Linked DNA regions of Mus musculus. The protein of the gene in region 4 interacts with the protein of the main gene of each other region in a pairwise test. Links are inferred from orthologs where the notes say so. Each region holds a gene or a part of one and is shown on either strand. Other genes may lie near its edges.

Evidence for each region.
Region 1: the proteins of Amotl2 (region 4) and Krt20 interact in binary tests that used the Homo sapiens proteins (3 or more experiments, as listed by UniProt). The two-hybrid records come from large-scale screens. The link is inferred for Mus musculus from reciprocal best matches to the Homo sapiens genes AMOTL2 and KRT20.
Region 2: the proteins of Amotl2 (region 4) and Rad51d interact in binary tests that used the Homo sapiens proteins (3 or more experiments, as listed by UniProt). The two-hybrid records come from large-scale screens. The link is inferred for Mus musculus from reciprocal best matches to the Homo sapiens genes AMOTL2 and RAD51D.
Region 3: the proteins of Amotl2 (region 4) and Zgpat interact in binary tests that used the Homo sapiens proteins (3 or more experiments, as listed by UniProt). The two-hybrid records come from large-scale screens. The link is inferred for Mus musculus from reciprocal best matches to the Homo sapiens genes AMOTL2 and ZGPAT.
Region 5: the proteins of Amotl2 (region 4) and Thra interact in binary tests that used the Homo sapiens proteins (3 or more experiments, as listed by UniProt). The two-hybrid records come from large-scale screens. The link is inferred for Mus musculus from reciprocal best matches to the Homo sapiens genes AMOTL2 and THRA.
Region 6: the proteins of Amotl2 (region 4) and Gcc1 interact in a two-hybrid assay, tested with the Homo sapiens proteins (2 studies listed by BioGRID and IntAct). The two-hybrid records come from large-scale screens. The link is inferred for Mus musculus from reciprocal best matches to the Homo sapiens genes AMOTL2 and GCC1.
Region 7: the proteins of Amotl2 (region 4) and Myo5b interact in binary tests that used the Homo sapiens proteins (3 or more experiments, as listed by UniProt). The two-hybrid records come from large-scale screens. The link is inferred for Mus musculus from reciprocal best matches to the Homo sapiens genes AMOTL2 and MYO5B.

Annotation. Positions count from the first base shown.
Region 1 is NC_000077.6:99,435,354-99,439,341, forward strand, and holds the start of Krt20 (keratin, type I cytoskeletal 20), read right to left. Parts: upstream 2,801-3,988; 5' UTR 2,745-2,800; coding exon 2,334-2,744; intron 163-2,333; coding exon 80-162; intron 1-79. UniProt on the Homo sapiens protein: Plays a significant role in maintaining keratin filament organization in intestinal epithelia. When phosphorylated, plays a role in the secretion of mucin in the small intestine.
Region 2 is NC_000077.6:82,887,825-82,891,917, forward strand, and holds the start of Rad51d (DNA repair protein RAD51 homolog 4), read right to left. Parts: upstream 2,801-4,093; 5' UTR 2,596-2,800; coding exon 2,514-2,595; intron 2,208-2,513; coding exon 2,146-2,207; intron 1,987-2,145; coding exon 1,868-1,986; exon of another isoform or gene 1,845-1,867; intron 1-1,844. UniProt on the Homo sapiens protein: Involved in the homologous recombination repair (HRR) pathway of double-stranded DNA breaks arising during DNA replication or induced by DNA-damaging agents. Bind to single-stranded DNA (ssDNA) and has DNA-dependent ATPase activity.
Region 3 is NC_000068.7:181,364,154-181,368,222, forward strand, and holds the start of Zgpat (zinc finger CCCH-type with G patch domain-containing protein), read left to right. Parts: upstream 1-1,269; 5' UTR 1,270-1,518; coding exon 1,519-2,099; intron 2,100-4,069. Other genes in the region: Arfrp1 (ADP-ribosylation factor-related protein 1), read right to left, coding at 158-245, 452-544. UniProt on the Homo sapiens protein: Transcription repressor that specifically binds the 5'-GGAG[GA]A[GA]A-3' consensus sequence. Represses transcription by recruiting the chromatin multiprotein complex NuRD to target promoters.
Region 4 is NC_000075.6:102,716,617-102,720,603, reverse strand, and holds the start of Amotl2 (angiomotin-like protein 2), read right to left. Parts: upstream 2,801-3,987; 5' UTR 2,702-2,800; intron 2,212-2,701; exon of another isoform or gene 1,891-2,211; intron 524-1,890; coding exon of another isoform or gene 462-523; coding exon 1-461. UniProt on the Homo sapiens protein: Regulates the translocation of phosphorylated SRC to peripheral cell-matrix adhesion sites. Required for proper architecture of actin filaments.
Region 5 is NC_000077.6:98,765,785-98,769,506, reverse strand, and holds the end of Thra (thyroid hormone receptor alpha), read right to left. Parts: exon of another isoform or gene 1,351-3,722; coding exon 982-1,350; 3' UTR 501-981; downstream 1-500. Other genes in the region: Nr1d1 (nuclear receptor subfamily 1 group D member 1), read left to right, coding at 248-458, 1,088-1,287.
Region 6 is NC_000072.6:28,418,925-28,422,857, forward strand, and holds the start of Gcc1 (GRIP and coiled-coil domain-containing protein 1), read right to left. Parts: upstream 2,801-3,933; 5' UTR 2,393-2,800; coding exon 1,361-2,392; intron 377-1,360; coding exon 1-376. UniProt on the Homo sapiens protein: Probably involved in maintaining Golgi structure.
Region 7 is NC_000084.6:74,701,119-74,704,618, reverse strand, and holds part of Myo5b (unconventional myosin-Vb), read right to left. Parts: intron 3,175-3,500; coding exon 2,935-3,174; intron 1-2,934. UniProt on the Homo sapiens protein: May be involved in vesicular trafficking via its association with the CART complex. The CART complex is necessary for efficient transferrin receptor recycling but not for EGFR degradation.

The DNA.
Region 1 (3,988 bases), on a different chromosome or scaffold from region 4:
ATACATACAAATGCATACAAACAACACACACACACACACACCCCCAAGACATATTTTTACCGTGGTTTAGAGAACCTACTTCAATCTGAAGTCCTCTGCAGCCAGCTTAGCATTGTCAATTCGCAGGACGCACTGGGCATTTTGTACTTGAGCATCCTTAACCTGGGAAATGTGAGAGGAAGGAAGAATGACATTTTTCCCTGGGCAGGCAGGAGTGTAAGATCATTTTATTGGTCCTCAGAGACAACTGTGATTAAATCACAAGTGATGCCCATTTCGCAAATGACCATGGAAGAGCAGTGACAGAGGTATTCATGTCATGATTTGGCCTAGTTCCTTCCTGATTGTACAAAATGAGAGCTGAAGCCACCCACATCACTGGGCCTCTGTGAGCGCCTTGTCTGTGGCGCTGCTCACACTGGAACATTGCTGTTATCCCTTCTCACTTGGTGAGCTCCAGCTTCCTCACCTCTCAGCTCAGACAACACTTTCAAGGCCCCTCCATGATATCTTCCAGTTATAGCAGCGAATGCGCCGCCGTGGCTGTTGCCCTGCACAGCATCCCTGCATCTACCTCTCTGAGTGATGGTTTCTGTGGTCTGTGCCTGTTTCCACTTAAAGCACTTGCTATCTGTAGGAGTTAGGCGCAGGACAGAAGGATGGATACATCCTGGATCTGTGTGCATCTCTCTCTGTGTGTACATGTTTATATGCACAGGTGTATGTATGTGGAGGTCAGAGGACAATCTTACATGCCATTCCTTAAGTGCTACCTTTGTGTGTGTGTGTGTGTGTGTGTGTGTGTGTGTGTGTGTGTGTGTATGGCAGGGTCTCTCATTGTCTTGGAACTCACCAAGTTGGCCAGGCTGGCTGACCAGCAAGTCCCAGGAATCTGCTTGTTTTCCCAATGCTGGGAGTACAAGCACACACAGTCATTCTACAGCTTTGCTTTGTAACCTGGGGACTGAAGTCAGGTTCTCATGTTTCAAGGCAAACACCGTATTAAGAAGTAGATTAGAAGTCTACTTCTAGAAGATTTTAGACATATCCCTTTCAGCGGCTATTCCTGGAGAGAGGTCCCTAACCACTGGTCACTAATGGCTGTGCCTAAGTACTATGGGTAATCCCCAAGTCAATTCAAAAGCGTCAACCATGAGAGAAGTGCTTAATTTGAATTTTGTGTTGTATCGAGAAGCCTGAAGGACCGTCCTGTTGATGAGAAGGGCAATGTAAGCACCACACAGCTTCATGGGCTATGAAGTCTGAATTAAGCTGCATTGATGCCTGTAATTCAAACAGAACTCAAGACAAGAGGCCTGTGGTTAAGACAAAGGTCTTTGCTCTAAAGGCCTTTGCAATCATTTCGAGATTTAAACAAAACCCAAGGGGAGGCTTTTCCTGATGAGATAAGAACCCCGGGGCTGGGCAAATGGTGTGTGCCGATGCTTGAGGTCCTCAGTCAGGAGCGAAGTCTCCCACTTTTATTCCATTGGCTTTATAGAAAGGGGAACCCCACCTACCATGGATGACACAGGAACAGATTGTGATATGACTGTAATAAACTTAAATTGGGGGCAATAGAACATTTTATTATCACAGAGGTGCATTATAAAATGCTTGGTGATAGTGAGGAGATAATTAAATAAGACACTAAAAAATCCAGGTATCAGAACCGTGTATGGTGGCACAGTTCTTTAACCCCAGTGCTGAGGCAGTGGAGGCAGGAGGATGGTGAGGTCCAGACTAGCCTGGGATACACAGATCTTGTATCAAAGAGCAGTTCATCCATCCATCCATCCATCCATCCATCCATCCATCCATCCCCTATCACACAACTATTTATCAATCAGTATACATATCATTAATATCTGTAATCTGTATCCACCCTGAACCCTTTTGTTATTTATACCCATAGTAGGTTAATATATTTGTTATAACATTCATATAATGAAAGATGAAAAATCTCTTTAAATCAACTTGAGTCTTCAAAGTTAGTAAAGACTACTGGCAAACTCACATATAGAAACCATTGGAGGTCTTTGAAAAATAAGATTATCCACAATGAAGACCTTATATTGTAAGCCATAACAAAGATTTGAACTGCAATTTTGGATGATAAAATGATCATATTTTATATATAATTAGTTGAAGTTTTAGAAAAAATGTGAGTTAGACTCATCCTGTTTACAGATACCACATGATAAAATACATTTTTTTTTCAATTATACATTTCAACCTAATCTGCTTCATGTGTTCGAATTCACCTAGCATACATCTCTCAATCCATTAGGCAACTAAACAGTGAGGTAGAAATTACAGGCTTCATGGCTCACCTGATTTTGCAGCTCTTTAATCTGTGCGTAGTAGGAGCTATAGTCTCGGATGGTGCTCGGCGCGTTGGTTTCGTACCACTGCTTGATCTGGGCTTCAAGTCTGGAATTGGATTGCTCCAGGGAGCGCACTTTTTCTAGGTAGTTTGCCAATCTGTCGTTCAGGTTCTGCATTGCCAGTTTCCCATTGCCCCCAAACAGGTCCGATCCGTTGGAGAGATCACCCCCGTAGCTCATTACGGCTTTGGAGACAGAGATGCGAGTGCCATGGCCTCCAGCCCCACCATAGACGCTGGGTGCAGCCCCCAGACGCTGCACAGTCCCCTTCCTATACAGCGAGCCACTCATGCTGAGTGCTGGGCCTTGTGAGGAGGAACTCAGACTTCGGTGAAAACTTTGACGACTGAAATCCATCTGGGATGTAGGGAGGCAACGCCTGTAGCCTGGACTTGGAGCACAGCCTGTCTGTCTCGGGCTGCTGTGGAGATGACCTTTTATAGAGTTCAAGAGACTCCTCCTCTGCTGCCGTGTCACCTCAGGAATGACACAGTCCACCTTCCTGTCTCCCCTTCCCCCTCTTTTGTACGGCAATACGTTTCATTCCATTCCAGAAATTTCTACCAGAGGCACTTTTTAAAGGCTTTCCTGTGGGGGTGGTGGGAGTGGAGGTTTCTTTTTAATAAACAGAGATAACAAAAAGGACGAGGAAGGGGTGTCCTTTCAGGTCTTGCACCTGCCCTGGCAGGTTTTTTTTTTTTCATCCTGTATACAAATAAAGAATATTTACAATCTATATGAATAATTCAGGCATCGAACAAGACAGCTGTGGGAACATAATATAAGTCACACTGGTGAGAAAAGACAATGGCTTGTTCAAATGATTTTCTTTTAAAAAATGTTTTATGCTTCTTTAAATTTTTTTTTTACTTTTAAGTTTATCCTTGTTTAGAATTTATATTTACAGTCTATTGAAATGTCTTGAGTGAAGCTGGGTGTGTGGGTGTGCACCTGAGATTCTAGCACCCGGGAGTCAGAGGTGGGGGGGATCAGGACTAGTTTGAGGCCAGCCTGGTTGAAGTAAGGTGTTCCAGTCTAGCCCAGTGTTGTGTAACAAGACACTGTCTCAAAGTGCAGCTCCCCCCACCCCCGTTTAAGAATTGAATACGGTCAGTAGGTGAATATGTAAATGATTATCGGTGGGCGGTGGGTCAGTTGATTTTGGAGTTTTTTAAAAAAAGATATTTTAAATAGCATTTTTGGATAATTTCATCCATGCACATGTAGCGTATCTTGATAAACTCCTCTCCCACTCGCCTCTCCAGCTGCCTCCGAAGCGCCTAACACAACCCCACCCAAACTTCATACCTCTTTTTATCTTTTTCTTTTTAAAAATAACCAACTGGATCTAATTAGTGCTGCCTGTATGCTTGTGGGTGTGCGGCCTTGGACTGGGTGTGTGAGCAGCCTGTCAGAGGTCATAGATCCTCTGCCTGGCTCCCAGCAGCCTGCAACTGCCAGGAACATCTAGGTTAGCAAGGGGACCTTATTTAAAAAAAAAAACAAAAACAAAAACAAACTTGTTATAAGAATCTTGCAAATATTTTTAAATCTAGTGCTTCTTAAAAAAGAAACAGCAACATTAAATTACTGCGAAACTC
Region 2 (4,093 bases), on a different chromosome or scaffold from region 4:
AGCTCTGGCTTGCAAGGCATAACTGATCCCTCCATCTACAGCGGTGTCTGCCCTGCAAAGATTTACGCTGCACCTCAGCACGCCAAGAAGGCCCACAGCAAAGGACCCTGTTTAACAGGTTTAATGCATGCTAATCACAAGTTTCACTAACCTTGCCTATAGCCTTACCTTCCCGGTTTCAAAGTTACATCCACTAGGTAGGCACAGCACACTGGAGGGAAATCTAAAACCATCTTTTTTTCCTTAAGATTTTTACGTAGGTATATGAGTACACTGTTGCTGTCTTCAGACACACCAGAAGAGGGCATCAGATCTCATTACAGATGGTTGTGAGCCACCATGTGGTTGCTGGGAATTGAACTCAGGACCTCTGGAAGGGCAGTCAGTGCTCTTAACCACTAGGCCAACTCTTCAGCCCAGCAAACCACCACCTTTGACTCTTCAAATTTACACCTGATCTCACAGTAAGTCTCTCTTCTCACATCTCTCCTTCAACATGTCTTCCGTGGTCACAAACCCTGGTTCAGACTTACACAACCCAAACCAGCAACACAAGATCCCTGTTTGGCCTCTCCTGGCTGGCTGGCCCGTCTGTCCTGCACAGCTATGCCCCATAGCCTACAAATGCTTTCACAGTGGCCTCTCACCTCCAAGTATACCTCGGAACAGTCAGCTGGAATTAAGTTAAAATCCTGAGCCCCACTCCTCCAGAGAGCATCTGCATGTGTCTGGCACCCAGTAGGCACTCAGCCAATGTTTGATGGATTACAAACACAGACCCCCAACCAGCGAGAGCAAGCACCAGACTGTGCGGACCTTGCCAAGAGAATGTGTTATGGAAACAGCAAGGGCCAGACCGATCCAAAGACCTCTGTGATGGCCGTGTTATTCATCAAGCTCCGCACAAATAGGCCGGGAGAGAGGTCAGACTCGCTTGGCCAGAAAATGCTAGCTGTCTTCCAATTCTTTCCCAACCCGAACAACAGGGCACAATGTAACTGCTCTTTTTGGAGTATGCCCGTTCCCCTCTGCTGCCTCAGATGGCAGAGACAACAGGTTCTGGATCAGATAACCCCGGGCTCACCTCTGCTGGCCCCTTTCTTAGGCTAACCACAAGGGAGGTCAATAACTTCTAACATCCATAACCTCGGGCAGCAGTTCTCAACCAGGGGTCACAACACAAGCCCTCCGACGACTGCACAACCCTTTCACAGGGGTGGCAGATCCGACTATATTGCTTTTAGAGATTTACACTATGATTTACAACAGTAGCAAAATTACAGTTATGAAGTAGCAAAGCAGTAATTTTATGGTTGGGGGGGGTCATCACAACAGGAGGAATTGTATTATAGGGTCACAGCACTGGGAAGGTTGAAAACCACTGGCCTATGTCAGCGCAAAAGTGCAGACTCCCGGGACCCCAATCCTTCCCCGGGTCTCACTTGCTACTTGCTTTATTTTGACGTATGGTGGACTCTACTAAACAATGGGGGTATTAACGACATCTTATGTTATAGGACAGTGGCTCTTCACTGGGAAAAGTTAGCTTGTTGGAGATACTGAGTCATTTTTTGATTATTAAAACTGGGGGCATCTTGGCATCTGGTGGGTAGAGAAGGACCAGGGATGCTGTTAAACGACTCTCAACGCACAGGATATCTCTATCTCAGGAAATAACGACTTGCCTCCCCCCCCCCCCCCCCCATCAATTGTGTTGAGGCTAAGAAACCCTACAGTTTTACTCTAGGGAAAAACACTCAGGAGTCCACACGCCTGCAGTTCCTCTACCGCTCTGGACTGCCCTCACCAGCCCCGTCCTCTGAAGCCTCAGTCTCTGCTTTCACCTTGTCCAGGTTCGCATACAAACCTTCCGATGCCGGTGGACAGGATGGCCGTGGAAGTCTTCAGTTCCTCATAGAGATCTGCGCCATTTAAGGGGAAAGCCGAGAACTGCGCCAGCAACACCCTCCTCAGGGCAACGAGGGCCTGCCAATAGGGCGGACACTCAGGCTCCAGGCCCGCCAGATTGCCCCCTCAGAGCAGCGCCCCCCCCCCCCCCCATCTATCCCAAGGAACTCTGATCCTGCAGCGTGGGGGCGCAGCTGGAAGAGGGGTTGGAATGGAGCTTGCAGATCGCGAGCTCACCTTGTAGGACAAGCCACACTTCTGGGCTACTTCCTCCAAGTCAGCAGCTGCCAGGTCTGCCACTGGAAAGAGAGCAGGTGCAGGTGATTGGCAGCAGGAATGGCTTAGCCTTGCCACATTTGCCTTTTGCTCTGTTGTCAAACGGGATTAAGGTCTTATTCTACTACCTATCTCGAGCACGCAGGCCCTGATGCAGGACCGACCCCGCAAAGGGCCCAGCACTCAGTAAAATCCTCTGCCTCGGCTCCTGCGAACCCAGCTTCCTCAGAAAGTCAGAGGAAGAGTGCGGCCATCCTGTTAGAGCAAAAGGCCCCGTATGTGTACCACGACCACGGTGCCGACCCCCGGGGTAGTGCCCATGAGGTCACCTGTTTTTATCTTTCGGCCTCTGAGAAGCTGGACGGTCTCCTCGGTGAGGCCCGGGCACAGCCCTGCCCTGAGCATGCCCATAGTCCCTACAAACCCAGGATGCCCTGGGGGCTCTCTGTCACTTGGGCGCTCGCCGAGTCCCCCACTCTGGGCATTCCTCAGTTCTACTTAGGGAAAAGGTCCTGGCGTGCCAGCGCGGGACGAAGGGGCGGGAAGAGGATGCAAGTCGAGGTGAGGGACACTAACCCTTCCCAACTCGCAAGACTCTAGGCGCCCTAGGCCCGCCCCCTCCGGCCGACGCTTCCGGGTTCCGGGACTGGAGCGTCTTTTGTAGGCCAGGCCTGCAGCGCCATCTGCTGACCATGAGGGCAAACACAGAGGCTTTGCGACTCGCGCCAGCCACCTGCAAGCACACCTAGAGCTTACATACATGCACAGAGACACAAGCACACACACCGACACACACACACACACACACACACACACACACACACACACACACACACACACACACACACACACACACACACACACACACACATTTTGTGTGTCCAGCGAGTCTTCCAACGAGTCTCTTGTGTATACCAGCCTCTATTTGCAAAGCTAGGGGACACTCACTCTACCTAACTCAATATTTACAGAGTGAAGCATCCCTGACTTCTAGTAGCATTCTTGTTAGGAAGACAATGAAAGTGGATCAATTCAGATCATTACAGATTGTATGATCAAGCTGAGATCCAGCGAAGTTCACAGAGAGTACCTGTGTCCCTATATTTTCCAAATTTATCAAGTTCTATCTTACGTATATAGATGTTTTGCCTGCATGGATGTCTATGCAATCCTGGCATGCCTGGTACCCAAGGCAGCCAGAGAGAGGGTCAGATCCCTTGGACTGGAGTTACAGATGGTTAAGAGCCACCATGTGGGTACTGGTCTTCTGGGAGAGCAGTCAGTGCTCTTAACCACTTAGCCATTTGTCTAGCCCAACATTTTCCAGAGGTTTTAATGGAAGTAGGGAAATGCTTGAGTATATAAAATACTATTTTGATTTTTTTAACCACATCTAGTGGAAGAAATAAAGCAGTTTTACAAAACCCACGAGTGAGGTTCTATTTCTGCCTGTATTTTGTAGTTGAAGGAATTTGGGCTCAGTAAGATTGTTATTCTTTGATTTATACAGATAGGAAGCACAGAACTGAATCTCCAGTCCATATCCAGCTGCAGGGCTCATTTTTAGAAATATCTCCTCATGTTCACCATTGTCTCTCAATCTTTCAAGGTGTTTGGAATCCTGGCCCTGAAACCAGCTACTCTGTGAGCTACAACCCACAGTAAGCTTTCACTGTGCCTGCGTTACTGGCTATGGTGGGATTTGCTGCTTAGATCCCAGGATAGAGAGCCTTAGAAGTATCAGTAGGCAAAGGCCTTCTCTTCAAAGTCTGGTTGGCTCAGGCCAAGTGGTGTTCTCTGTGCCACTAGCCTGCTACCCCTTCCTGGACAGCTCTAAAGAGGCACAGGCAATTAAGCCTTTTGAAGTCCTCAGAAGAGGACCGAGTAGTTGTGACCACAAACGTGACCT
Region 3 (4,069 bases), on a different chromosome or scaffold from region 4:
CCCCAGGATGGGACAAACCATTCTGGTACCAATCCTAGGGAACTTGAACACAGAATAGAAAGACAGGGTTTTGACCACTGGTCAGCTGGGTTGTGGACCTTACAGCATCCATCTCTAAGGGACCTCCTAAGATCATATCCCTAAGGTGCCCCCTTACTGTTTAGACCCACGGTAGTGGTGATTTTGGATAGACTCATCCCCTTGTAGTTCTTGTTAAAGCGTGTTTTTGACTGTTCCAGGAAAGTCTGAGGAAAAAAAGAGAGGGGGTTAGATAGCAGCAGCTAGAGTAGTTTTCTGGTGTCCTTCCCACCTATCCCTTCACACCCATGCAGCCATGCACGCCTCTGCCTGTGGCTTGATCTTCAGGAGGCTGGTGACTACTAACCTGTAGCCTTGGGGCGGGGGTTAGATCAGGCAGGGAATGGGAACTGGTGAGAGAGCAGGGACCTACCGTCTTCCCAGCATTGTCCAGGCCCAGGATCAGGATGCAGTATTCATCCTTCTGGAACATGTACTTGTACAATCCCGAAAGCAGCGTGTACATCCTGTTCTGGCACCCTGAGAGATGTCAATGTGTGTACCGGGGGCATCGGCCTCCTGCCCTGCCCGCTTCATCAGCGGTCCGCCTCTCCTGCTAGTTTTCAAATGTGTAGCCTCGCGGATCCTGACTCTTCGCCCCCATCCCGCCTCTTCTGTTAAAATCCCTGACCCTGATTCCCCCGATGCCATCGCTGACCACGTGCTAGACCTGGGCCACTCCCACTTAATGTCATCTTTCATAATGCACCATCAATTCGGAGTCCTGAAAAGCCCGTGGCGGCCTGCTCTGCTCCGCCTTCCTAAGGCTCCTCTTTCCGAACCCTCAACTCAGAACCAGGAAACGCGGCCGGCGACTTAAGTCTAGGAAGCGACCAGAGAGGCAGAGCTCCTGAGGAGGGTCGGCTTCGGCTTCCCGCCGCCGCCGGGCCCACGGAGCCTGGGAACCAGCAGCTGAAGCCACTTCCGTCCCCCTGTTCCAGGACTTTAGAACCCCGGCCCCTCAGTCCAGCTGAGGCCCACCCGTACCTGCTCAGATCTTGGAGGAGGAGCCGCCGCCGCCGCCGCCGCCGCCGCCGCGTTCCTAACCCCACCGACCTCACGCTGACCCCTCACAGTGCCTGACGGAACAAGGAGCGAAGGACGGAGCACGGGCGGAATCGCATCCCAGCGGCCCCCGCGCGCAGGTACTTCCGGCAGCTTCGGCTCTCCGGCGGAAGTGCCCGGCGGAGGGCAGAAGGCTAGCGCGTGAGCTTGGCTGGCGAGGGCGGAAGCCCTTCTAGCCTGCGAGCGCCGGCCGGAGGTGGGGTTGCGGGCCGCAGAGGACGGGGCGGGTGACGTGCAGGTCCCCCTCGGCGGAACCGCGGCCCTCCTCAGGCTCCCTAGCGGTTTTGGGGGCGGCGTTGCCCTGAGTTGTTCTTACTGCTCTTCCTCCTGTTTTTGTCTGCGGTAAAGGTTCCGAATCCTGCCTGCTGGGTCGGGATGGACGAGGACAACCTAGAGACTGCCCTGCAGACCTACCGGGCCCAGCTGCAGCAGGTAGAGCTGGCGCTCGGTGCTGGCCTAGACGCTTCTGAGCAGGCGGACCTGCGTCAGCTGCAGGGCGATCTAAAGGAGCTGATTGAGCTCACCGAGGCCAGCCTGTTGTCGGTCAGAAAGAGCAAGCTGCTGTCTACAGTGGACCAGGAGAGCCCAGCTCAAGAGGATGCTGAGTACCTGGCTTTCCAGAAGGCCATTGCGGAGGAAGTGGAAGCGCCCGGCGCCCCCTGCAATGACTCGGAGACGGCCCCTGGGAGCGAGGTGCAGCCGGGATCCACCTCCTCTGCACTGGAGGAGGAGGAGGAGGACCCAGATCTGGAGGAACTGAGCGGTGCTAAAGTGAATGCCCCCTACTACAGCGCTTGGGGCACGCTGGAGTATCACAACGCTATGGTAGTGGGCGCCGAAGAGGCGGAGGATGGTTCTGCGTGCGTCCGAGTCCTCTACCTATACCCTACCCACAAGTCCCTGAAGCCCTGTCCGTTCTTCCTGGAGGGAAAGTGCCGGTTCAAGGAGAACTGCAGGTAAAACCCTCTGCTGCTAGCAATGAAGGGCACGCAGTCGGGACCACCGCTGTGGCCTGTCGCCACAACTAGTTTGGCACCCAGCAGAGTTGGTAATAGAGTCCAAACCTTAGGTGACTGACAGGCTTTTACAGAAGTGTTCTCCGTGTGTTTACTTAGATTTTTCTTGCATACATCAAGAAGTTTGAAAGAGCTTATGTTGAAAAGATAGGGCAATCCTTCATCAATATTCTTCTCCAAGGTGTAAAACTTTTTTTTTCCCCTTTGAGATAGCAGTGTAGTAACTCTCGATGTCCTTGAATTCTTGATCCGTCAGCAACTCTACTACATCCTGAACGCCTTCAGTTTCCAAATGCTAGGATTACAGGTGGAGGCCACCACTTCTACTGGGCTACATCTCCAGCTCGGAACCTTTTTTCTTTTTTTCTCTTTTTAAAAATTTATTGACTATGCTGAGGATGGAATTAGGGCCTCCAGCACACCAGGCAACCAACTACTGTACACCTTAGCCCCATCCCAGCTCCTGTAGTTTGCATAGTCTTACAGAAAATTTCAAACACATAATCTCTTGCTGACTTGCCCTACCTTCCCCCCCACCCCCCGTGCTACTTGAAAGCACCTTTCACAAGTTACATCTTTTTCTCTCACCCTCAAATACTTCAGAATGTAGCTGAAATAATAATTACTAAAACTGATTTATGTCTTTTTTTTTTTTTAACTCAGTCATCCAGAATAACCCTCTAGTACTTTGAATTTATTTATTTTAGGCCACTAAAATAAAAAGATTTGTTCTATTATAATGGTAGTAGTGAACTAAAATTAGTTTCACTTGGCAGGATTTTAGGCAGGGCTAGAGCCTTGGAAGTCTGAGGGCAGAATCCAGAACCCATTTCTTTGTCCATTTTTCTTTAAGGTTGTTATTATTATTTTATTTTGATTTTTAAAAAAATATATTTTAAAGATTTATTTATTTTGCTGGGCATTGGTGGCGCACACCTTTGATCCCAGCACTTGGGAGGCAGAGGCAAGCAGATTTCTGAGTTCGAGGACAGCCTGGTCTACAGAGTGAGTTCCAGGACAGCCAGGGCTACACAGAAAAACCCTGTCTGGAAAAACCAAAAAAAAAAAAAAAATTATTTATGTATGTGAGCACACTGTTGCTCTCTTCAGACACATGAGAGGAGGGCATCAGCTCTCATTGCAGATGGTTGTGAGCCACCATGTGGTTGCTGGGAATTGAACTCAATACCTCTGGAAGAGCAGTCAGTGCTCTTAACCACTGAGCCATCCCTCCAGCCCCTTATTTTGACTTATTTATTTTTTACTTTTTTAATGTTTTTCTCTAAAGATCCATCGGTTGCTTTTGTCTCATTTTGTTTTGGTAAGGTGGTTTGATACATGGTCTCTATGTAATCCTGGCTGTCCTGGACTACATACAGCTATGAAAGGCCTTGGCTGGCCTTGAACTCACTACCGAAAGGCTGGGATTAAAAGTTTGCACCATGGCCTGACTATTTTAGGCTTTTTTGAGACAGAGTTTCTCTAGTAGTCCTGGTGGATTTCCTGGAACTTACTATATAGATCTGGCTAGCCTGGAACTCAGAGGCATGCACTACCATTTCTGGCTAAGATATATTTTTAGTTAGTGTGTTTGTGTGTGTGTGTGTGTGTACGTGTGTACGTGTGTACGTGTGTACAGGTGCCAGAAGAGGGTATAGGATCTCCTAGAGCTGGCGTTCCAGGTGGTGGTGGTGACCTGCCGAACATAGATCCTGGAAAACAAACTCAGGACTTCTACAAGAGCAGTATCCTCTCAGCCACTGAGCCATTTCTCTAGCTCTATGTATTTACATTTATCTTTAGATTGCGGTGGGGGTGGGGCATGTGTACAGGTAGGTGCCCAAGAAAGCTAGAAGAAGGTGTTGGATCTCCTAAAGCTGGAATTGCTCACAGAAAACATTAACCACTGA
Region 4 (3,987 bases):
CCATGCCTCAGCTCTCGAAGAGCTTCATCCTGTCGCCGGCCGCCTCCGGACACCCCTCCTCTAGGATCCCGGTCCCCAACATGCGGCCGGGACCCTGCCTGCTGCGCTGCGTAGTACTGCGAATGGGCTTTGGCCTCCTCATAGGTGGGCAACTCTTCTCCTTTGCTGGGCTGTGGGCACAGCCGGTACAGCCTGTTCTCTGCCAGGTGGGTCTCTCCACCCTGATGCTCCTGGCCCTGGGGCTCCTGCCTGGTGGCTTGCTGCAGCACCTGACTGTCCTCGGGTGCTCCGATCTCCAAGGAAGCCTGGGGGCTCCCCGTGCCCCCAGCTCCAGCCCCACCCCGCAGGGCCTGCTGCTGGATAGCCAGCAGAGTGCGAGTCTCTGTCAGGTTGCCGTAGCGCAGCTGCTCTTGGATGAGACGGTGCAGGACTGTCCCTGAGGAGTCTTCCAGTGTCCTCATGCTTCTCTGGCTTGCACACACCTGCCTAGACAATGGCCAGCAGGCACCTGGTCTCAGAGCACCTAAGAGACAGAAAGAATAGCAGTCAAAGGAAGCACAAACAAAGGAGGGAGGGGCACTTGCAGGAACACTCTGGATGAAGGAGGAGGCTGGGTGGGTAGGTGGGTGGTTTTACACAGGCCCAGATGCAAGTGCTAATATGGCCATCTATTGATTAAGTTTAGTTACTGAGCTTCTGATCCTTAGTTTGCCATTAATATAAATATATATATGCATATATGTATATACATACATATATATGTACACACACACACACACACACACACACACACACACACAGTGTGTCTCTTGGAGTTGAAATGTAAGAAGCTGAGCGCCTGGTATGCTATAAATCCTTGGCAAATGCTTATCATTGTAACATTTATGGAGATTTAGCTGATCTTACAGATATACAACAGAAAACCAGAAGGCTATCTCATATCACAGTCCCCGGCAGTCAGCCATTACCCCAAACAATCTCATGGGCAAACTGTAGGACAGGCGTCCATCAAATTCAACCACTTAGCAATAGGGTTCCCAGTTTACTGGCAGGCGGTAAAGAAAGAATGTAGCCCAGCAGAAAGAAGCCCTAAGCAAATAATTCCATTGATTCTTTAGAATAAAGACGCGTGAGCCAGACCCTGGGCTCAAAGGCTGCTGATAAAATAAATCTGAGTCTCCCTGTCACAGATGACCTTAGCAGCCACTCTGCAAGGTGAGCAGCACAAGAAGCCCCATGGAAATTGGTGAGGAGGCAGAGGGGAGCTTGCAGTAACTGAGCCAGGGAAACATTTTCCATGACCACCAACCTCTTTTCTTGGCACACACATTTGCTACTTAGAAAAACCCCTCCCTACGTGTATGCTAGAGGCACACAGGGGATGATCCCTCTGCATCTCTGTTGATATTAGTAACAACTACCTATGCCAGTTGATGGGGTAATGAGGCGAGGGGGGAGACAAAGGAAGGGGGTGGTGGCCCCTTTCTGTGCCATACTAATGCTAGCCCCCTGTCCTACCTCAGTTTGGGAATGGTATGTTGGCAGAGCTGGAGAAAGGTAATGAGCCCTGACGATACCCAAGCCAGCAACTAATCCTCCCCCCCCCCCCCAACTGCACCCTGCAATGTGTAAGACTTGAAGAGTCTGCTCACACGCGGCTTTTTCTACGCGGTATTTCCTAAGTTAATCACTGTCTGGGCTGACTCGCGCTAAGGATCCGGGAGCGGCTAGAAGGAATGCTGAGCCTTCCCGGCAGATTCCAGGCGCGCCGACTATGAGCCAGGCTCTCGGAGCACCGAACATTTCCGAGGCCTTTCATCGCACAAACGTCCCAATCGAATCCCCTAGATGCACAATCTTTCTTTCAAATACTTATATAAGAGCACTTACTGAAAATCAACTTCCTTACACGGGCGCTGTACCTGGGCTGCACTGGAGCGCTGCACTCGGAAAACCAGCCACCTTTCTAAGCAAACACGGGTCTCTGGCCTTGGCCTGGGCTCACTCCAGCAAAAGGAACCAACGCTAGTCTCCAAGTCAACCAGGCCAGTCCAGGGTCCCGGCGTTACTCACCTCTACCGAGGCAGACCACTAGCACCGGTGGCTGCCCGAGCGCCCCGGGCGAGCAAAACCCGCAACCGCGAGAGGTCTTTAAGCATCGCGGGTACGCCTCTCTCCCTAACCCTCTTTGTTTTCCAAATACTTCAGCGCTGACGTCACCGGACTGGACAGCAGGCTGCATTCTTTCTAAGTGAGAGCCAGTTCGTGGCTCCGCAGAGGATTTTCCAAGGAAGACAAAGAGGAATTCTTGAGCTAGCTGAGGGTAAAAGCCACCTGTATCCCCAATCCAGACAAAGCAGCCACGGTAACCTCATAATTCAGCGAGATATGCCTACCGCAGCTTTTCACTTGCCCCGCACGCGAGACGCACACTCCCAAACACTGATCCTCTGTCCTTCCTCCAGCCCCAGTGGGTCGGAGAATGGTGTCCTCACCCCCACAAAAGCGCGAGCAGTCTAGGCTAGACACCCAGGATCGATCCTCGAAAGGGTTCACAGTCTCCCCTCCCGCTCCCGGGGAGGCTCGTCCACCCCAGCTCCGATCTCCAGAAAGGGTCGGACTGATCGCGGTGTCCCGCTGCTGCTGGGAAGCGTCCCCGCCGGCCTCGCGCACTGCCCGGAGTGCCCGGCACCTTGCTTACCGCTGCGGCCCGCGGCTGCCGGCGCACGCAGACCCGGTTCGGCTTAGGTACAGTCAGCAACGGAGGTGCGCACTAGTCGGTGGCGCCGATGATCTGCTTGCTCGCGCCCCAGTGCGCAGCCTCTAGGTCAGCCCGCGCTGGAGGCGGCTGCTATGCCAGGAATGTGAGAGTTTCAGGTTCCCCCTCGGGATCAAAGCGAACCACAAATAACCTCTCAGCGCGCCGCCCTCCTCCGCTCTCCGCCTCCCTCCGCTCCCCGGGCCAGCCCCCGCCTTCCTCCCGGGAGGCGGCGCTGCGGCTGGCCGCTGGGCTGGCCTCAGCCTTGTCCCCTTGCCACTCTGGGCTCTGGCGGCCGTGCGGCATTCATTCCCTGCCACCCTGCTTTGTGTCCTAGCTGTTGGGAGTGTCTTAACCAACTCGTCCCAAGATCGCCCCACCACTGCCCGCACCGGGTTCTCACCCTCCATTCCTACAGGCACCGAGGGACGACTCCAGGGATCAGCCTCTCACGCCCCTATGGTGGCTGTAAGAAGGGTCTGTGGCGTTTTGGAAATGGCGGGAGGACTGCACAGCAGTTCACATCCGCCCAGCCTTGACAGTGTTGCAGACGAAACGATGTTTCGGCCCGCCGCTGCCCAGCCTCTTTCCTAACTCCTACTATTTCACCCCCCAGCGGCAAACTTTGAATTGCACTTTTATTGTTTACAAACACCTTGGCCAGCTCTTTTAATCCTGCCTCTACAGGAAGTGTGTGAATCTGGGTTGAAAATCTGGTGGATTTAACCCACTACCTAACTAAATGAATCAACCACTCACTGGGCATTCGGTCCAACTCCTCCCTAACTCCGCTCATCTTTAAGCCAAGCACGCGGCGGGTCACCACTTGCTTTTTACTCGGCCATCCGACTCCAGTAACCCTCCGACGGTGCTCTTATCATGTCTGTAATAAATAAGAAACCAAGGTTCAGAGAGTCTAAACAACTTGCCTAGGGTCACACAGAGAGTAGCCAATGAAGCCAGGTCCCTTTTCTTGGTCTTCAAAATCCGGTCTCCGTAACCTGACAAGGCAGAGAGTCTCTGCTTCCACCTACCTGTCCCGAGTTTCAGTGTCTTTTCCACCTCGTCTACACCTAGCCAACCCTCTTTGTCTTCCGCTTCTCTGGCTTTTGGTGTGGAATCGACTCCTTTGTCATTTGGACCCTTCTACTTCCCCAGGAGACTCCTCCAGCTTAGCTGCTCTGACTCCCTCCCCTCCCCGCCCCCCCCACCCTCTTTCTGGTTAGAGC
Region 5 (3,722 bases), on a different chromosome or scaffold from region 4:
ACTCAGTGCATCAGAGTAACCAAAGAGACAACTCTCCTCTACTCTAGGCCGGAGCTGGTGACCTTCGGTTAAATTACATTCCAGAAGTGGCGGGCACTCCCACCTGCATCCCTCATTGACCAATCAGAGACTGACCCCCTTACTGACAATCTAAGGAAACACCCCTCAAAGTTATTAGCAGGCTCTAGGGGTCATTTGGCAAAATGCCCCTCCCATCTCACTCAAAAAATGTCCACCCTCCCTTCAGGTGCTGATGGTGCGCTTTGCATCGTTGTTCAACGTGAAGGACCAGACAGTGATGTTCCTGAGCCGCACAACCTACAGTCTGCAGGAGCTCGGTGCCATGGGCATGGGCGACCTGCTCAATGCCATGTTTGACTTCAGCGAGAAGCTCAACTCCCTGGCACTTACCGAGGAGGAGCTGGGCCTATTCACCGCGGTGGTGCTTGTCTCTGCAGGTGAGCCAAGCTCTCCCCTGACCCTGGAGGAGGCACACGCAGTTCAATTCAACATACCTTTTATGGAGAACCTACTCTATGCCAGGCCCAGCACTGGGCACTGGGCTACAGACATGATTCAGACACAGTCTAGCTTGGGAAACAGACTCATGCCCGACTAATTATAAAACAGCGAGAAGTGTCACACAAGAAGCATGAACCAAGTAAGCACAGACGACTATTTCTGCCCGGGAGAGCTGGGGAAGGAGGTGACACTTGATGTGGGGCCTCAAAGGGACAAGATAACTGCCAGGCATAGAGAGGGGGAAGGGCATCCCAGGCAGAGGGAACTACAGAGCAAATAACAAGGGAGCTTGGCCACGAGTGGCATGCTCAGGGTAGGAGGGTGGGCTCGAGGAGTGGGAGGTGGCCAGCCTGTGGCCATGCTCCCAGCGTGTGGGCGTGGCCCCGCTCTAGGGCAGAGGCCCCCCAGGGAGAAGGAGTAGCGCCCTCCTTCTCCTTTCCCGTTGCCCTCCGAGGGGCCTCAGGGAGAGGCTGCCTTGCCTGCCTGGTCCTCGCAGACCTCCGTGTCCTCCGTGTCAGAGGAGGAGCTCAGGGAGCTCGCCTCACTGCTGTCGTCTTCCCCACAGACCGCTCGGGAATGGAGAATTCCGCTTCGGTGGAGCAGCTCCAGGAGACGCTGCTGCGGGCTCTTCGGGCTCTGGTGCTGAAGAACCGGCCCTCGGAGACTTCCCGCTTCACCAAGCTGCTGCTCAAGCTGCCGGACCTGCGGACCCTGAACAACATGCATTCCGAGAAGCTGCTGTCCTTCCGGGTGGACGCCCAGTGACCCGCCCGGCCGGCCTTCTGCCGCTGCCCCCTTGTACAGAATCGAACTCTGCACTTCTCTCTCCTTTACGAGACGAAAAGGAAAAGCAAACCAGAATCTTATTTATATTGTTATAAAATATTCCAAGATGAGCCTCTGGCCCCCTGAGCCTTCTTGTAAATAACTCTTCCCCCACCCCCACCGCCATGCTCCCATCCTCCCCTATTTAAACCACTCTTGCTCTCTCCACCCTCCTCTGGCCCCTCGATTTGTTCTGTTCCTGTCTCAAATCCAATAGTTCACAGCTGAGCTGGCTTCTGTGATGTGTGCTCGTTTGGGGAATTGGGGTGGGGGTGGGGGACTACTGCCAAGGGGGTGTGGGGGGGGGGGAAGACACCTCTCCATCTGGTCAGCTTGTGGGGTGGGTACTCTGCCAGCAGATGGGAGAATATGGGGAAACAGCACGCAAGTCTAAGGGGGGGTGCCCAAGGGGGTTATTTTCATCATATATTTATTACATAAATATATAGTAAAATAGACGAGCAACAATTACCATAAAAATATCTTTCTTTAAAATCCTGACCCAAAACACAACGGGGTGAAAAATTCGCACATAACAGACATACTGATTGTCAACTGTGGGGCAGGAGGAGGAGCCCCTCAAGTCACCCCTGCCGGTCCCACCCATCTCTGGGGAAAGGACCTATCTCCTTCCCTGTTTCTAGCCACAACCCCTCCCCCCACCTCAGCACCAGCTTCTCATACATTCAGTAGCGCCTCTGGGTAGTGTCCCCCTCCTCCACCCAGGAGTTCCTAGGGCAGGAAGTAATTTCCCCCTTATGGATGGACGGACGGTGTCCATGTCACACGCCCTGCTCTCTCCCAGCCCACCGCCCGGGGAAGGGGTAGGGGCTCCTCCTCCCCCACCCTCCCCAAGTCTGAGCAGGGAGGAGGCTGGATGAGGTATGTGTGTTATAAGTGATGGGGGGGGGGGAATACTGAGATGGAGAGGCAGTGGTAGGGCAGGGTAGTGGTCATGGCTCTGGCACCCCCTTGTCCTGGCCTGGCCCCCCCAACCTTCTCCCAGCAACCCACCCCTCCCATCAATACTGCACCTGCTGCCCCACCCGGCCTGCCCTAGTGCCCCGGGCCAACATTGGGGGAAGGCATGCTAAGCACCCATGCCAAGGCCATCCCCCCATTAGCACCAATGGCCCCCAGGAGAGGGCCCTGTCCCCCACTTCCATGGCAGGGACTGGGACAGCTGCCTCTCTAGAGCAGGTGCGTGGCACTCCTGAGTCTCTCTGGCTCCTCCCACAACGTAGACTCACTCATCCACTCACACGAAGGAACACACACATACACTCCACATCACTGAGGGGGAGGGGAAGGGCTGAGGGGCAGGGGCTCACAGCTCATATGATTGGGGGGAGGGGGGAATTCCCAAGTGCCTATAAGAGGCCATGCCTATGGCTGAGAATGGGAATGGAGGGGAGTGGAGTCAGGGGAAGAAGGGAGACAGCAGGCAGGTCAGGAACTCCACTGAGTCCCCAGGTATGGGAGGGAAGTATGAGAGTATTATCCATGGGACTGGAGGAATACAGAAATCAGTACCCCGGGAGAGAGAGAAAAGAAGATAGAGATGAAGATAGCACAGGTGGCCCAGGGGCCCCAAGGAGTGGGGCAGGCACATGCACAGGTGACAGGAGATGCTCCTCCAGGCCCTCTGCCCAGTTGGAACACCTGAACAGTGGCAAAGGACACTGCCTGGGAACAGCAAAGCATTGCCTTCCACGTGTGTGTGTGTGTGTGTGTGTGTGTGTGTGTGTGTGTGTGTGTGTGTGTGTGTGTGTGTGTGTGTGTGTGTGTGTGTGTGTAGGGGCTGTGGCAGGCTGAGGGTCAGAGTGGGGTGGCAGGTTCCCCACTGCTTAAGACATTTTTGCCCCAATAGTGCAAAGCGCAGGAAGCCCTGGCACCCCTCCCCCGCCCCCTGCCCCATTCCCCATGGCTTCCGGGGGGCATCTATGTCCACCCATCCATCCCTGCCGACATGCAGCCCTGAGCCCAGGGCCACTGGTCTGCTCTGTTCCTCCTCCTCCTCCCTTCCCTTCCACTCTGGGAGGGCCACCTCCTCCCTCCCTCTCTCTCTTTCTCTCTCTCTCTGCAGAGGAGTGGGCTGTTAGCCAAAGGGAGGAGGAGGAGGAGGAGGAGGAGGAGGAGGCAGCTCACCCAAGTGCAGACCAACAGAGCACTCCTCACCAAAGGGTGGGAGGTGGCTCAAGCCAAAGTCCCTGAATTAGAAAAGAAGAGGGGAGAGGGGTTCCCAGGGGCAGAGGGGTGGCTGGCCTAAAGAGCTTCAAAAAAAATGGGAGGAGAGCCAACTGTCTCCTCCCCTGGGCCCCAGCTAAGTGCCACTGATAGAAACACCCCCCACTGCATGCCAACCTGCCCTATGT
Region 6 (3,933 bases), on a different chromosome or scaffold from region 4:
CCTCGGAGTTGGCCATTATCTCAGGGTCGCAGAGCTTCTCCACATCCAGGGTCACCTGGCTTTTCCTAGCTGCAACCTGTAGTAGCTTCTTGAGCTTCTCCATCTTGTCCTTCAAGACATTGATATCCAGACTGGATTCGTCGCCATGGATGTCAAGGGAGGACCGGCTAGAGGCTGCGAGGGCCAGTGTCTTGTTCTCCAGGTCCAGCTGCAGAAGTCGCTCCTTCAGCTTCTGGATGGCCAGCTGGTCTTTCTGCTTGGCTTTCTCGTAGGTGCCCAGCAGTTCAGATACCTCAGAGATCTGGCTCTCCAGGGCTGCTACTCTCTGCTCTTCTACCTGAGACTGCTGGCGGAGCTGGTCCTCTGCAAGGGCTGTCTGCAAAGCAAAGAACAGGTGACAAGGCATCCAGGAAAGTCACAAAACCCCTAGAGTCAACTGGGTGTGGGGGAGGAGACAGAGAAGTGAACAGGGCTTGGAATAACCCAGAACAAGTGGGAACTGGGGATTTTTAACTGAAGTGCCCTTTCTACCATAGTTTTCCATTCTTCATTAAGCTTGAATACAAAGTATGTTTCTGTTAGCCAAATCATTTAAAGAAACCGTGTAACATTCTTTCCCTTTCCCAACATGCCTGTAAATTCAAACCCAACCTAGATCCCTCTCTCTACTGAAAGGGAACACTATAAAACAGTTGAGGCAAACCTCACCTGAGCGTATACACAAGGCATTTCTTCTGGGGAAAATCCCCTTTGCTTCCTCCAGTCACCTTACCTAGAAGCACACACTTCTCAGGATACACACAAGCTTTCCCTACACAGCTGTCACTGTATCACCTCAAGCAGCACAGCTGGTAAGATGCCAACACCCAAGGCCTAGATAGAGCTATCTGGCTTGAACCCAGAAATACTCAGGAACTCTTCATCCTGTTAGAAGGACACCACACAAAGCCACACTTCACGGGACTCACTGATGCAATTTTTTCACTTGGCATCAAATATCACTATGCATGTTGGGAATGTGGAACCAGACCAAAGTCCCAGTACTCACACTAACAACTCACGCTATCTCACCAGGCATCCCTTGACTAAAACAAGACCCTGCCTTAAGTGGGGAGAGGGGTGCCCTTAATCCTAGCACTTGGTATGGAAAAGCAGGCAAATCCCTGTGAGTTCAAGGGCAGACTGGGTTACATGGTAAGACCCTGCCTCATGAAAACACACACAGAGAAACAAACACACACACACACACACACACACACACACATAGGGATGCATTACAGTTATCTAATGACCAGAAGAGAAAAATAATAATTTCCTATGTAAGCTAAAATGACTATTTGAAGGATATGAGAATAATTACCTTCCTCATTTCTTGCTGCAATTGGGCCTGGAAATGGCTTTTAAGACGGGCAGCCTCTTGCTGAAGCTCCTGCAGCCGGGGGTCTGGTCGGTTCTTCTCATCTCGAATGGTTTGCAGCTCACCTTTCAGCTCCTCTACCTCTCGGGTCAGCTGCTTGGTCTGCAGTTCAAACCCTTCGACCTGATCAGCGGCATATGCCCGCCCTGCCAAGGCTTCTCTGGTCTCTTCTAAGCGAAGTTCCAGGTCCTGGCGCTGGGTCCTCTCCTCCTGCAAGAGCTTCTGAAGCTCGCGCAGCATCAAGGCATGGTCACTCTGCTCCTGGGCACGATCGTGCTGCTGTGTAATGAGGCGGGCTTTGGTTTCTGCTATCTGCTCTTGCAGCACCTTCAAGTCTCCCTCCAGGCGACCCCGCTCTTCCTCTGCCTTTTTATTGGCATCCTCTAAGTCCTGCTTCATCTTCTTCTTATCCGCCAGGTAAGACGCCTCCATACGGGACTTTTCCTGAGTGACTGTCGCCAAGGAGCTAGTCAAAGTGGCCAACTGAGTCTTCAGCTGATGCACTCTTTTGTCCATCTCACTACCGGCAGATGGCCCATCCCCACTGCTACTACTAACGCCACTCTCTGACCCACTGGCCTCTTCAGACTTTGGGGGAAGTGGTCCACGGGCCGCTCTGTCATCTTCAACCCCAAATTCACCCTTGACACTTGTAAGACTGGCTGCGGTATCCAAGCTAGTGGCAGTTCCGGTGCTGTCCTCACTGTGAGTGGAGCACCGGTCATCCACAGAATCAGGAAACGTGAGACCTGGAGGCTGCACACCTGAGAGGCCTACATCCGCCTCGTGGGATACCGACAGTACCTTGATGCTGGCCTCCAGGGCTTCTTTCTCCTTCAGCAGGCTTTTATAGGCACGCACCACATCCTTGAGTCTTGCCTGGTACTGGAGAAGCTGCTTTTTCTGTGTCTCGATGGTCTCCAAGAGATCCTTCTTACTTGGGCCGCCCCCGAAATTCATCCCAAACTTCTCCATGGGGGTTCTGGCGTGGACCGCTCCACGTCAACGTTCTTGCAGCCCTGGGCAGAGCCACAGGGACAGCTAAAAGTGAAGCAGAGAGAACCGTCTGGCTGCAGGCAATACACCCGGTCCGTCCAGCGGTCCGGGCGGGATGAGGGGCCGCGGTGGCCAGGCAAAAGCACTGCAGGAGCCAGGCCGAAGGTGGGAGCCAGTTCCAACCTGGAGGCGGAGTGACGCTGACCTAGCAGGAGCAGTCAGCCTAGGCTCTCCAGTACAGGCCCTGAGCCTGTCCCGCCCTAGCCGCTCCTGTGGCCACCGCAACCTAGACCCGCCTCCCTCCGCCCACGATAAGCCCAGGGTTTACACTAAGCCGGGTTCCATCACGATTTCCCAACAACTGGAACAGCACCGCTTCCGGGTCTCCTGGAAGTGACGGCAGCAAAACGCCACAGACCCCGCCCCGCCGTGGGCGTGAGATGGGTGGGGCTTCCGCACCGTGTCTGCTGGTGGCCTGGAGAGGGAGTAACCCGTAGGTAAGTCTAGAGCAAGCACCTGAGCAGTGGTTTGGAGATGCCTAACTTTGCCCTCAAGCTACCACCAGTGAGCGACAGGGGGCGACGTCGCACTGCATTTGCCCCAAAAACATAGATGAAAGACGCATCAAACTATTTGGGGCAATGTCCAACATTTGGGGCAACAGTTAGGACTCATACTAGGAAAACGAGGCCGGTACCTGGTTAACGTAAAGCATAATAGCTCCCTCCCTTAGTTCTGATTAGTAAAAGGGGCATTATATAGCCATAAGGCCCATCTTGCATACCAGCATATGCTGGGGTCAGGGCTGTGTCACAAGAGTTACACTTACGGGAACATAGAGTAAAATGTACAGAGGGGTAACATGTCCAATGTCACTCAGCTAGGAAGTTTAGGAGTCCTATCTCAGTCTGCCTCTCAACATACTACATGCTATGCCAGATAGCACTACTGAAGAAGCATGGCCTTGTCCCAAGAAACTCCTAACAGCAAGGACACAGAGATTCAAACAGGTAGCTCCTGCCTTCACACTAGTGTGTCGGGGCATTGCAGAAGTGGTATAAAGGAGATGAGGCACCTGCCAGGACAGAGACTCTTAGGGGAAATGATTTGAAGTTTGAGAGATGAGTAGACTGCCAAGCTCAATGCAGATGTGGGAAACCAGCATGGAGGAAAGTGGAAAGGTGTATAGGGACGTCAGGCATCAGTGAGCCTAACTTGCCCAGGAAGCTTATGGTGTGGGAGAAGGGTGGCTACTGATGAGGCTGGAACAAAGGACCCAACTTAAAGGCATTTAGATTTTACCTTAGGTGACAAGACATGAAAAGATTTTCATCTCAAGAGCACACCATCAAGTCTCCTTTTTCTTTTCCATCAAGACTCTTGTGGGGACTGTAAGACGACTCAGCAGTAAAGGCACTTTCCACCCAGGCCCAATGATCTGACCTGAGTTCTATCACCAGGGCCCACACGGTGGAAAGAGAGAACATATTCCCACAGGTTGTCCTCTGAGAGCTACACCT
Region 7 (3,500 bases), on a different chromosome or scaffold from region 4:
AACCCAGCCAGAGGTGGCAAAGCCTCCCTGAAAGCAGCTTCAATCTCAGCCAGGCTTTTTCCTGGCTGTGCATCCTTTGGTTGGTTACTTATCCCCTCTGTGCCCTTAAGTGCACTCATGGTTAAAATGGAGATGATAGCAATACTTATCCCATAGGTGTGGTGAAGATCAGTGGGTTAAGGCATGGGTACAGTGCCTGGCATGAAAACCACAAGGGAATCAGTGTGAGAAAGATCTCACATGTTCCCTGATTACCTGCTGTATACAGGGAGCCTTGCCCAGGGTGACAGCATCTGCCACTGCTCACAAATGTTTGCCGAGCAGAAAGCTTAAGGCGAGAGCTTTATTTAAAAATAGGCCTTTCAAATCTGCTTCTCTCCGACGTTCAAGCACGTGGGGTGGGAAATACCGTGTTATTTTTATCCTCTGGAGTTGACCTCACACACCAGCAAGGCCAATACTGAGCACTATCTGAAACCAGGGCCCAGGGGGGGCCTGGGTACACAGATGCTCCTCCCTAGTAGGGACAGTGGCTTTAGTCGCCTTGTCCTCTGGCCACACTGTGTCTAGAAAAGTGACTCAGTGGTCACTGGCACTGACAGTCCTGACAGAAACAGGGGACACCGTGGTGCTTTGTGTTTTCACAGACCTCTCCCTGACTTGCTGGGTCACCACAGGCTGACCAGGGTAGGAAGTGGGCATCCCCAGCTCACACTGGGAGGGCTGTCTTTTTATACTGAGCATTTGTACCGGCTGGTTTTGTGTATAAGCTCGACACAAGAATCACCAGAGAGGAAGGAGCCTCAGTTGAGGAAATGCCCCCATGAGATCCAACTGTAGGGCATTTTCTCAATTAGTGATCAGCGGGGGAGAAGACCAATGGATGGTCCTATCATGGGTGGTACCGTCCCTGGGCTGGTGGTCCTGGGTTCTATAAGAGAACAGGTTGATCAAGCTATGGGGAGCAAGCCAGTAAGCAGCACCCCCTCCATGGCCTCTACATCAGCTCCTGCCTCCAGCTTCCTGCTCTGTTTGAATTTCTGGTCTGGCTTCCTTTGATGATGAACTGTGATGTCGAAGTCTAAGCCAAATAAACCCTTCCCTTCCTGACTTACTTTTGGTCATTGCGTTTCATCACAGCAATAGTAACCCTAACTAAGACAGCATCCAAGCCAACACTCTGGGTAACTCCAAGAGAACACATACCCAGGGCACTGGCTCTTCCACAAGCCTGGTCTCTGCCCAGAACAGGAAAGCAAAGTGCCCCATTGTCAGCTGTCTCCACACAGGGGCTCATGTGTAGGACAGCTAGCTTAGCCAAAAACTGGTTCATTGTACTGGAAATGTGACTCAGTTGGCAGGATGCTTGCCCTGTGGCATGAAGCAGGGGTGAGCCCTAGCAGGGGATAAAACTGAGCCTGGTAGCCTACCACTGTGCTTCCAGCATTTGGGAGGTAGAGTCAGAGGTTCAAAGTCATTTTTGGCCAGAAATGGAGTTTGAGGCTAGCCTGGACTACATAAAAGTCTATCTTTAAAAAATAATACCAATAAAAACAAAAACAAAACAAAATGACTCACCTATTTTCCTGCCCTCAGGTTATGAGAAGCTCCAAAAATGCCTACTATAGCATGAGTACATTAAGATCAAGTGTCCCCACTGCCACTGCTGCTCTCCCACTGTCATGGCTGGTCCCCCACTGTCATGGCTGATCCCCCACTGTCATGGCTGATCCTCCACTGTCATGGCTGATCCTCCACTGCCACAGCTGGCCCCCTATTGCTATGGCCAGTCCCCCACTGCTATGGCTGGTCCCCCACTGCCAGGTTTTTCTTTTCCTCACATCCACACCATGTGCGCCTTCATCCTTTCTCTCCTGAGTCTACATGACCTCAAAGAAGGCAGTATTTTACGCTTGCCTCAGATCCTGTCACAGAACTCCATCCATAGTGGGCATTGACACACTGCTCATCCAGCTGGTTGACGTGCGAAGGTAGCCAGTGCAGAGTTAAAAAGCCTAATCAATGCAATACCAATGTCATATCAGACAGGATGCCAACATTTACCTCATGGGGACCGTCATAAACAAAGAGGGAAACACGGTGTGGGTCCACACAGCCATTGCTGTAGCTATACTGTGAAGCCTCTGGAGAGGCAGGGCCTCAGGACTCTGGACGAATCTATCAATTTCTTATTGCTCCATTAAAAAGTACCATGGAGGGCTGGAGAGATGGCTCAGTGGTTAAGAGCACCGACTGCTCTTCTGAAGGTCCTGAGTTCAAATCCCAGCAACCACATGGTGGTTCACAACCATCCGTAATGAGATCTGACGCCCTCTTCTGGTGCATCTGAAGACAGCTACAGTGTACTTAAATATAATAATAAATAAATCTTAAAAAAAAAAGTACCATGAAGCTGGTGGCTCAGAACAATGTAAGCTACTATTTTGCAGCTCTGGAAGGAGCTTCTAAAGGTGGCCAGCAGGACTGTGGTTGTTTAGAGACTCCAGGGGAAAACCTCCCACTGTTATCTGTAGCTCCCAAAGGTGGCCTGGATACTGGAGCCTGTGGCTCTGCATCCTGCTCCCCAATCCTGTCTGCAGCTTTCTCTCGTGAGCACGCTATGATCCCATGGGGTCCACCTGGACAGCCTAAGGCCACCTTCCCATCCAGACACCTCTAACATATGCACTCTTGCAAAGCTCCTTGTTGTGTGTGAGAGAGCACATTTGTAGATCCCGAAGATTGGGGCGTGCTGCCTTTGTTGGGGAGTGACACTATTCAGTGACTATGTTCAGCAACTATTCTTACTGACTGGGCAATGCCCCTGAGGTCTCTGGTACCTGCAGCTCCCTGAGAAAGCTTGGGGGTCCATCTCAAGCATGTCCCAGTATCCCCTAAGCTTCGACACCCATGTAGGAGACTCCTACCACTGACCTGGTCATCAATCTTCCGCTGTAGCTGGACGACTTTGTTCTCCATGCCCACGTTGAGGCGTTTCAGATGCTCTGCCGAGCGGGCCTCAATCTTGAGGGCCTTCAGCTCCTGCCTGGCCTTGAGTCTCCGGAAGGCACACTGGATGACAATGGCTGCATCCCGCTCCCGCAGAAAACGCTTCCGTGCCATCCAGCCTCGGGCGTACTTCTGGATGATGGTGGCTTTGTGCTCCATGAGGACCTGGTGAGGATGAGTACACATATCCTGTGGGTTTGCTCTGCAGGATGGGGACAGGTACAGCTTCTGTAACTACGGGGGTTTGAAAGCTGGCCTGGCCTTGGGTTTAGGAGACCATGCATATGTGGCCTGTAACATCCAAGGATTTGATGGAAAGTTTTAGCTAGGTTCTGTAGACCTTGTGTACACAGGAGAGTGGCTGACAAACTCTTGTTTCTACCTTTATTTATTAGATAGATATGGTTTGAATAGGAATGGCCCCCGTAGACTTGTGTGTGTGTGAATGCTTGCTTGGCATGGCACTATTAGGGGGTGTGGCCTCGTTAGAG